Linked DNA regions of Nothobranchius furzeri. The protein of the gene in region 1 interacts with the protein of each later gene in a biochemical or structural test. Links are inferred from orthologs where the notes say so. Each region holds a gene or a part of one and is shown on either strand. Other genes may lie near its edges. The genes, in order: bmpr1aa, bmp4 and bmp7b.

Region 1 (4,175 bases):
CTGTACAAACAAAACTTTTAACATTTATCATTAGATTTTTCCTACTCAGGGCACTTTCCTTCCTTATAGAGACGTGTGCACATGCACACAGAGCCACAGCAAGCACTGCGTCCTGCTAAACTTTTCACTTTAGAGGTTAGCTTAGCACAATGACTGGTAGCAAAGGGGAACTGCTAGCCTGACTGCGCTGAACAGCTTTACTTCTGTTGGCATATCAAGTCCAACACATGGAGTGTTTAATAGGTGAACAGGGCTGTAACTGTAAGTGTGCTGAACCAGGCTAAATGATCAACTAGTCCTGATGTGTTAGCACCTTTGTGGTGATGAAACTGCAGGTGATGGTGAAGGAGCAGCAGCTGCTAACTATACTGTAGGTAATTTAACCCACTTTAGTTTGTCTGCTGGTTTTAATTCAAATCTCACATCTTAAATAGAAGCATCGCAGTTCAACGCTTAAGAGCCCGCAACCATATATGATTAACTAGAAGGGTGGGCGGGGCTTTATAAGGAACCCCACCCCTACACGTACCACTTGATCTGAGACACATGGACAGGAAATGAACAGACTGTAACAGGACGGAGGACGTCTCCTGTTGGAGTCAGCTGGACTCCAGAGATCTCAGGTAGAACATTTATTTACACGTTCAGGTCACATGTTCTCAGAGTACCTTAGAAAGTTCCTACTGAAGATGGAGATTGGTTCCTTTACGGCTCAGTCCTGAAGAGGAAAAACAAAATGTGTCTGTTCCTCTCATCTCAGTAAGAAGATTTGTTATCGTCTCGTTTGGCTTTCATAGAAAGCATCACGCCTGGCTGTCTCACTCCCAATGAGGAAGACAAAAAAAAAAAAAAAAAAGAGAAGGAGGTACACAGTTCAACTCTGAGGAAGGCCCTGTTTTATCTCCCAGTTTCTCCTCGAGATGAAAGAGGCAGCATGGCAGAACCTATCCAGTCTGATCCGGTCCGGGTGGAGCGACTCAAGTAAGTCTGGAAGGGAAGGACGGTCAGATTTTGATGTCCTGGGACTCCACCATCTTGGCAAGCGTCTTCTTCACTCTGAGGATTGTAAGGCGGGAGGCGGGGTTATGGGCCCAGCACTCTGACATCAGCTTCAGCATGGCTCGAAGGCACTGTGGAAACAACAGAAATTAATGAAACTGGTTTGGTCCTCTGACAGTCACTGAAGGCAACATCTAGGTGACTCATTGGGATTCATTCCATCTACAGAGGAGTCTCACCTCATCGCTGTTCCAGCGATTGGACACAGTAGGCCGAAGTCCTTTAACACAAACCACCTCCAACATGTCCTCATAGGAGGGGTCAGAGGGCACCATGTCATAATACGGCAGCTGGTAGTCCTCCACAATACCTGAGCAGAGAGAAAGCAGGCTCACTCAGCTGATACACAGAAGACCAAATATGTACAAGGAAGTCGGGGGTTTCCGAGCCCGTTGGCTCTGCCGATGAGACAGGACGTAGATGTGAGACAGAATTATGTGTATGAAAGACAGGTGTTAGAAGTAACCAACCCAGGGTCAAGTGTCCAGAGCCATGAGCAGTGCTCAGGGGAGCTGGTGGTGAGGTCTGCTAGGATGTATGATGGCAATGAAATACAAGCCAGAGCGGAACATTTACATTTTTTATCAAGAGTGACCAAAATGGACAGAACATCCATTTTCAGTGTTTTTTTAAAATGTTGTTGTTGTTAATCTGTGTACCTAATGTTCCATTTTAGTAATGGTCTGAATGAGTAAGGCATGGTGGTGCAGTGCCCCCCCAAAAAAAACAAAAAAACAAAAGAGAATAATATAAAAACCTTGAACTTTGGTATCAGTGTTCAGAACTTTGGGCAACCTCGACTGGCATGTTTCAAAGTGATTTTTAGGTCAATAAAATAAAAATAAATATAAGGTATGCTCTGTGAAAAGCACAGTTGTGTGTGTGTGTGTGTGTGTGTGTGTGTGTGTGTGTGTGTGTGTGTGTGTGTGTGTGTGTGTGTGTGTGTGTGTGTGTGTGTGTGTGTACCTCCGGTGATGCAGCGCCTGGTCATCTCCCAGACAACAAGGCCATAGCTGTAGATGTCCGCCATGATGTATGCCTGGAAGTGGTTCTTGTTGAGGCTCTCATCCAGGACCTCAGGGGCCATGTAGCGCCTCGTCCCCACCCGGGTGCTCAGAGGGATGTCCACCTCGTTTGTGTCACTATGGCAAGCCGAAGAAGCTTTTATAATTTAGTAAGGACTGAAATACGTTTACAGCAGCTTAGTCTTTCATTCAAACACTACATCAGATTTGACACCTTTACAGGTTAGGATATCAGAGGAAAACAACAAAATCACCTGTTGTATTTGACGGCGAGACCGAGGTCGGCAATGCAGCAGGTGCCGTTCTTCTTCACCAGGATGTTCTTGGTCTTCAGGTCCCGGTGGGCGATGGCTGGCTTGCCCTGCGTGCCATAGATCTCTGTGTGCAGGTGGCAGAGGCCGCAGGCCACCGAGTAGGCCAGCCGCAGCAGAACCTGAACGTCCAGCGTGGTCAGCTTCAGGTAGTCGTACAGGGAGCCGCTCTCATGGTAGTCTGTGATGAGGAAGAGCTGCGTGGAGGCATCCGAACCTTTGATGTCTGCAGCGATGAACCCTGCAGGATGAAAGTTAACAGATGAGCATAAATGTCACAGTTGTCTGATCATCTGCTTTAGAACTGATGTGGCAAGACTACCAAGGATGTTCTCGTGTCTCATCAGAACTGTCTGGTAGATCTCTGTCTCACGGAACCAGCTGGCCTCTTCACGGGTGAAGAAGACTTTGACAGCTACCTTCTCGCCCCTCCACCGTCCCAACCACACCTCTCCATAGCGACCTTTCCCAATCTGACGAACCATCTGGATCTGCTTGGCAATGGTCCGCTGCACCTGAGAAGCACAGATAACACAGAATATCATGTCTTCATCCGCCACTGTTACTTCTGCATTTCCTCCTGATCGTCTTTTTCTCTTCTAAGCAGCTGTGATGCTTTTGTTTTACGTTTTCTTTATGTTTCCAGACTTTATAACGTGTGTTTTTTAATGCTTCAGTTTGAGTTAAGTAACTTTTTTGCTCTTGTTTAATTACACCAAGAATATAAACCCACTTTTTACTGCTGTATGACAAGGATTAGACTATATACATATCATATATTAGGTTTTATAACCAAGTTTTGCTAATATGGAGGAGATGAGCGTCTTGTTTTGTTCCTACCAGCAGGGGGAGCCCCGAACCGCTGCCAGAGCTCTGTGACTGATGAATGAGGTCTTTGAGTGACTCGCCATCTCTGATGAACACTTCCTGTTCTGTGTCTTTGGGATATCGTTCACGTTCAGTCTGCAGCTTGTACCTGTTAAAACACACACACACACACACACGCACACACACACACACGAGTAAGTCCTAAAAACATCTGCAGGAAATGTTTGGATCTGGTCTTTTTTCCTGATATGGGCATTTAGGTGTGTGTTTATGTATAATAAATATGAATAACGTTGGTTTTGAGGAGAATTATTAGATGATTTTAGTTCTGATTGTTGGTTTAATCATAAAATTATTTAATATCTGAAGAGTTCTAATCCTGGATTATTGGGGTTCTGATATCCATCTTTAATCAATCGAACATCTTCAATATTAAAATAAATGTAAATGATAAATGACCTGCACTTGTATAAGACCTTTCAGAGCCAGAGGACTCCAAAGCGCTTTGATCTACAGTGTATCATTCACCCAGTCACACCAACTTGGTCACTGGTACCCACAGAAGCCCTTTTTAAAGAAAAAGTAATAAAAATAAGACTTGCAGACTCCTGCTGACAATAAGCTCTAGACATGAAGCCGTCTCTTGGACGAGAGGTAAAACATCTTCAAGATAACAAGAAAAGTCCTGTTGTTTTCCTGACGTTGTTACCAGATGATATTACATATGTTCTTTTCCGGATTTGGTTAACTGGTGTGAAATGATGCTGTTGTTACACGATGTTACATGCTGTTGTTACACGATGTTACATGCTGTTGTTACACGATGTTACATGCTGTTGTTACATGATGTTACATGCTGTTGTTACATGATGTTACATGCTGTTGTTACACGATGTTACATGCTGTTGTTACATAATGTTACATGCTGTTGTTACATGATGTTACATGCTGT
Region 2 (2,560 bases), on another chromosome or scaffold:
GGAAGATGATATCCTTTATTGACCAGGTGTGAACAGAAATCACACATTTTGATAATAATTCTCCAATTTAACTACGGAGCAGACAAAACAGATGATTGCATTTTGAAAATGTTTCAGTTCTCGGACGCACAGCATTCCCACGCAATGCCTCCTTTTCCCAGGGGCTTCAGATAAATGAGATTCTACTGTATTGTCTGACTCCTTAATGATTATTCATGATGAAAATGATAAATGTCTTAAGTGGACAAACTGCAGAGCTAATCAAAAGCACAGCAGGTTTTAATAATGAGAACCACCTGGGTAAGATTAGGGCCTGGGTGTGAAATAACAGGGGTGGATTGAGCAGGAAAATAGTAGACACAACATTCCTTTCCCCAACAATGGTGATCTTGCCAGAAATCTGCAGACTGTGAGTGGAACAGGGAGCCTCCACTGTGTTTATGCTGTAGTTGTGGTACGTTAATCACCACCCTCCTTGTAATTTATGTCTCAGCAAAGTGCTCAAAGAATGGCATTGAGAGAAGGGCAGGAAAATCTTTAAAGGCAGGTGAAGAAGCCTGAAGGTTATGTATTTAGTCTCAGGGGCCTTGAGAAGTGTGAAAAAATGTTATTTTGTGTCAATCAAATCTAGCTGAGAATGAGAAAGTGGAGGATTAGGTGGGATCCAAACACCAGGAAGGTGCTGATCCCCGGAACCCTAAAGTACAAAGAGCAGCCTTTAACATGTTGTATAGGTGACCTTTCTGCACATCTGATCTGTACAAACATCCCACACTTATTCCTGTTGCTCATTTTCAGAGCACATGGAGAGGATCCATGAGGTGGGTGATGGAGAATCCATGCCGATCCGCTTCCTGTTCAACCTCAGCGGCATTCCAGAGGATGAGCTGCTGTCGTCCGCAGAACTAAGGCTCTACCGGCATCAGATTGATGAGGCCATCGCGGACAGCCTCTCAGACAACCGGGGCCTCCACCGGATAAATGTTTACGAGGTGCTGAAAGCCCCGCGGCCTGGGCAGCTCATCACGCAGCTTCTGGATACGCGGCTCGTGCACCACAATGTGTCACAATGGGAGAGCTTCGACGTCAGCCCCGCCGTGCTGCGCTGGACTCGCGAGGGCCTCTCTAATCACGGACTGGCTGTGGAGGTTCTGCACCTCAACCAGACTCCGAGTCACCAGGGCCGCCATGTCCGTGTCAGCCGCTCTGTACACCAAAAACCCGGAGAGGATTGGGAGCAGCTACGCCCTCTTCTGGTTACTTTTGGTCATGACGGAAAGGGTCACCCGCTAACCCGGCGGACCAAACGCAGCCCCACCAAAAAGGGCGGTAAGCGCAAACGCAGCTGCCGGCGTCACTCACTGTATGTGGACTTTAGCGATGTAAACTGGAATGACTGGATAGTGGCGCCCCCTGGCTACCAGGCCTTTTACTGCCACGGGGATTGCCCGTTTCCTCTTGCAGATCATTTAAACTCAACCAACCACGCCATTGTTCAAACACTGGTGAACTCTGTGAACAGCAACATTCCCAAGGCCTGCTGTGTACCAACTGAGCTCAGCGCCATCTCCATGCTCTACCTAGACGAACACGACAAGGTGGTCCTAAAAAACTATCAGGAAATGGTGGTAGAGGGCTGTGGCTGCCGCTAGCGCGCAAACTCACTACAACCTGGACTCAAAGTGGCAACTCAAACAAAATAATGTGGAAGCCCTTCCCCCCCAAAAAAATTACAACTTCTTGTCTCCCAAAATGTTCACTTGGACCCTTATTTATAACTTTTATGAGGTGTACGTTTGTCTCACTAATTTGTTTCTTGACAATATGATCATATATTTTGACAAAATATATATATTTATATCTACATATAAAAAATAAATTGAATTCTTATTTTAAACACAAAAAAGCTGTTTTACTTGTCATAATGTATATTAGATTGTCTTTTTTGACGGAGAAAATGGTAAAAACTCTTTATTTACTGGTAATATTTACTACTTTGATGTTATGCAACAAAATAAAACATGGATATCTTTCACATTTAGTTATATTATAACATGCACTCTTTGTATTTGCTAAAAAAAATGTAGCTCTGTTTTTATAATCAATTGGTCAAATTATTAAAATGGAATATTTTAGCCCCCAAAAATCCCACTATTTAACTTAGATCCATAGCCATTTAAAAAGAAGGGAAAAAGTGAGAAAAATCTTATTTACTTTTTTATAATAATCCTGGATAACAGGGTTATAATGTAGTATAACAGGGTAACAATAATGTATTAATGCTTAATTTGTGCTTCAAAACTGCCAACATTTATTTCATGCTTTAATAAGATGCAAGGTCTAAAAGGTGCTATACAAAGTGGTCAGAATAGTTACATTTTGGTACAATTTCCTAATTTTAAATGATTGTTTGTGATAGAAAAAAACACTTGTGACTTAAATAATTTTAGCTCTATTTTATAAAACTAGTTTTTTGTCATCTTTGCCTAAATTATTTCAGAAAAAAATTAAAATTGGTTTATTCTAAGGTCTTCCCCTATTACATGAATATGTGTAAAGA
Region 3 (3,660 bases), on another chromosome or scaffold:
CAATCCAAAGGGGCAAAGAGCCAAGTGACACTCCGAATGGCTAACATCGCCGGTAAACACATTGTTGTCAATCTGCCTTTGGTTTTCTCACAGAGGGACTCAGTTGAGCAACATTCACTATTTGATTCCTCTGCACACAAATATCCAAGTATTACACTTCAGATGGCAATGAAACATTTAACGTATATTGCAGGCCTTTGTCCAGGAGGTGTGAGAGAGCTGTGTTTATGTGAAACATTAGACTGTACAGCTTCAAATATCCATCTGCTGTCTTTGTTTATTTACTCAAGCATTACACAGCATTTGGGGCCAAGCTCCCTGCATGAAGGTAAGGCACCGCAGGCTTTTATGGCAGAGCACATCTGTGGCGTGCTGTGGGGCAACCGGGGTCCAGACACATGGGCCAAAATGGGACTGTTTGGAACTGTGGATAGCAGTGGTCTTTAGCTTCATGATGAGAACCAGTCCCTCATAATCACTTCCAATGTGAACTCCTTTCAAGCACTAATGTACCACAGAGCCTCCATGGTCACCAGAGGAGCAGAAAGATACTGCTGGATAGAAAACAGATATGTCTTTTTTTTTGCACTTGGTAAAAAGAAAGAAGGAATGCTGAAATGAGTCTTCAGTTATGAATTTTACCAAACTCTATATTATTGTACAGATGTGTCTCAGACACTCAAATCCCAGCAATGCTACGGTTTGTTTGAAATCCTCACTAAAATGTGGAAGTGATTTTCTTCAACCAATAATTATTGTTAATTTCTTTTTGGATAACAGTGGCTTGAAGGTTAATTCTTCATCATAGTGTAATGGTTTACCTGCCCTAAAACATTGTTTTCTCTCTGTTCCCCAGAAAACAGCAGTTCTGATCAGATGCAGGCGTGTAAGAAGCATGAGCTTTACGTCAGTTTCAAAGACTTGAAATGGCAGGTACAGAACCACTTCATCAAAGACACTTCTTCTTTCACAACGAATGAATAAAATGTTTTGTAATATCAAAAAGATAAGAAAAATGCCACCAAAAGATACTTTGGACAAACAATGCATCAAGTATCTGGAAAAAGGCCATTTTCACCTGATACTTGGTACTTTTTCATTTACAAGCAGAGGTATGAGTCTGCAATATGGAACATTTTAAATAAAAAGCTATATTGTTAAACAATAGATACCTTCAAGGGGCGTTTAGAGGGGTGCAGAATGAATGTCCTTTAAAAGCTACATTTAAAAAAATAATAATCAAATTTTAATTTTGTCGGCACAACGCTAAGCTTATGTTTACATCTACCAGCCTCTAGGGGGAACTGTTGCACTGAAAGGTCCACTCAGCAAGAGGCTAGGACTGTGTAAAATGGCGGCCCTGTCAAGTCAAGCAGCTGATTCTGAGCCCAGAAGATGTTCTAATGTTAAATACTATTGTAAAGGAAACTTATTAGTAGAAATGAGCCCTTACCCTGTACGATATGCCACTGGACATGGTGCTGGCTGGTCCCATAACGTTTCAGCAGTGAACCAACACCCCAAAGGCTGGAAAATGTGTTCTGTTGTTGCAATACCACCTCTCAACACCAGATGTCACCAGAGTGTCCGTGCTCCATATTCAAATTTTAAGATGTTTTCTTGATGCATAAGAATGTCCCAAAGTGGACACCATAGCTCAGGTCTCTAAGTGACAGGGTGCATGTCAATTTCAAGGCGCCTGGCCTCGCAAGACATTTCTTGATGCATAAGAATGTCCCAAAGTGGACACCATAGCTCAGGTCTCTAAGTGACAGGGTGCATGTCAGTTTGAAGGCGCCTGGCCTCGCAAGACATTGCCTAGCGAGGCCAGGTGCCTTGCTTTTGAGAACACTGTCCTTCCTTGGTCAAAGAAAACAGCTAAATGGAACAGACTTGCATCACGTGACCGCAGCTTCTGTGGCAGTCATGTGACACGGGAGATAACGTTATATTTTATACGTAAAAGTTTCATTATAATATATAATGAGCCTTTCACTTTAAAAATTGAGTATATATTTGTCAAATTAAATATGTAAGCGGGTTACTATACCTGCTAACCACCGAAGCAGCAGCTACTAGCATCTAACCCACCATAGCTAACTTCTTTGGATCTAAATAAAATATTTCAGATACCAGCCCAATAGCTACAATTAGTTGACTTACATTTAAACTTGAAATTTGCCCCCGAAGTAGCTGCCGGCTTCTCTTCCATCCTTTTGAAAATACTGCGGTGTATTCTGGGAAATGTTTGACCAAGGCTAGGCTACAAGACACCTTCCGTGTATCCTTGCTCAGCTAGCTAAACGGCTAACGAACGGAGAACAGATGCCTTGGTAGAACATGAACATTGGAACACGCCTTGGCGGTTCCTGATGATGTATCTCCTAGGCAACCGGGAAGGGACCAAGACATTAAGGCAAGCTTCCTTGGCAAGAGTCATGACTGGGTCGTCTCAGTGTGAAAACTCGTTTACATGAACGATGAAAATAGTAACCATCATTTTGCAGACATGCTAAAGTGTAAGCTACGTGGGTTAGCACTAAAGGTTCCTATTGAGTGAATTTATACTAACCAACCAGTCAGATGAAATACCTTGTCTGCCCCATCCACCCACAGGACTGGATCATTGCTCCAGATGGATATGCAGCATATTACTGCGAAGGAGAGTGCGCCTTCCCTCTGAACTCCTACATGAATGCCACAAACCATGCCATTATGCAAACACTTGTGAGTAACCACAAAACCAAAGAATAAAATGCAAAAGATTTGTTTAGACTTTATTAATCTCGCCAGGTGATAAAACATTTGATAAATGCAGATTATATTTTTACTCTGTGGTTTCAGGTCACAACATTCTGTGTTTAATAAGCCTGAAAGTTTCCAGTGTGATCAGTCTTATTTATTTATTTTTTTATTGTCACACGACACCTAACAAATGCCACACATTTACGGTGATCTATAAAACAAAGTGAATTGCTAAAATATAACTTTAATATCTGATTTTCCTTTGATTTCCAGGTTAATTTCATCAATCCCAAAACGGTTCCTAAACCCTGCTGTGTCCCCACACAGCTCAACGCCATCTCCGTGCTCTACTACGATGACAGCTCCAACGTAATCCTCAAGAAATACCGCAACATGGTGGTCAGAGCTTGTGGCTGCCACTAGGACCGTCAGCGCCCTCACCAGAACACGTACTGTACATACAGATGGGGATGGGGGGTGCACTGTGTCAAAAAGCTGCAAAAACACACCGCACAGAGTGGTTTGTGCATCTCGTGTTGATGATGTGTGACCAAACAGGACTTCGACGAACTTAAAGGGACAGTTCACCTCAACATTAAAGGCTGGATTGTATGCTGAAAAAAAGAATGTAATAAACACAAATACAACCAAATTATCTCTGTTAACAGCTGTACATACTGGCTTTATACAAATATCCTGATAGATTTTGTAATAAATGTCACAAACTGGCATGTAGTAACATATCTGCATGTTTATAGTTCCTATCAGTAATGCTTTTATTTATTTTACTTCTGATTATTTCCTCTGTGTGCGTGTGTGTATATATATATATATATATATATATATATATATATATATATATATATATATATATATACATATATATACATATATATATATGTATATATACATATA

What was found.
Region 2: the proteins of bmpr1aa (region 1) and bmp4 form a complex in vitro, tested with the Homo sapiens proteins (3 studies listed by BioGRID and IntAct, with this or other methods). The link is inferred for Nothobranchius furzeri from reciprocal best matches to the Homo sapiens genes BMPR1A and BMP4.
Region 3: the proteins of bmpr1aa (region 1) and bmp7b form a complex in vitro, tested with the Homo sapiens proteins (2 studies listed by BioGRID). The link is inferred for Nothobranchius furzeri from reciprocal best matches to the Homo sapiens genes BMPR1A and BMP7.

Annotation. Positions count from the first base shown.
Region 1 is NC_091752.1:44,595,779-44,599,953, forward strand, and holds the end of bmpr1aa (bone morphogenetic protein receptor, type IAa), read right to left. Parts: intron 3,372-4,175; coding exon 3,236-3,371; intron 2,911-3,235; coding exon 2,718-2,910; intron 2,637-2,717; coding exon 2,339-2,636; intron 2,202-2,338; coding exon 2,026-2,201; intron 1,370-2,025; coding exon 1,239-1,369; intron 1,131-1,238; coding exon 1,005-1,130; 3' UTR 583-1,004; downstream 1-582. UniProt on the Homo sapiens protein: On ligand binding, forms a receptor complex consisting of two type II and two type I transmembrane serine/threonine kinases.
Region 2 is NC_091758.1:25,529,170-25,531,729, reverse strand, and holds the end of bmp4 (bone morphogenetic protein 4), read left to right. Parts: intron 1-798; coding exon 799-1,652; 3' UTR 1,653-2,035; downstream 2,036-2,560.
Region 3 is NC_091755.1:56,414,257-56,417,916, reverse strand, and holds the end of bmp7b (bone morphogenetic protein 7b), read left to right. Parts: coding exon 1-52; intron 53-856; coding exon 857-933; intron 934-2,616; coding exon 2,617-2,727; intron 2,728-3,018; coding exon 3,019-3,168; 3' UTR 3,169-3,307; downstream 3,308-3,660. UniProt on the Homo sapiens protein: Growth factor of the TGF-beta superfamily that plays important role in various biological processes, including embryogenesis, hematopoiesis, neurogenesis and skeletal morphogenesis.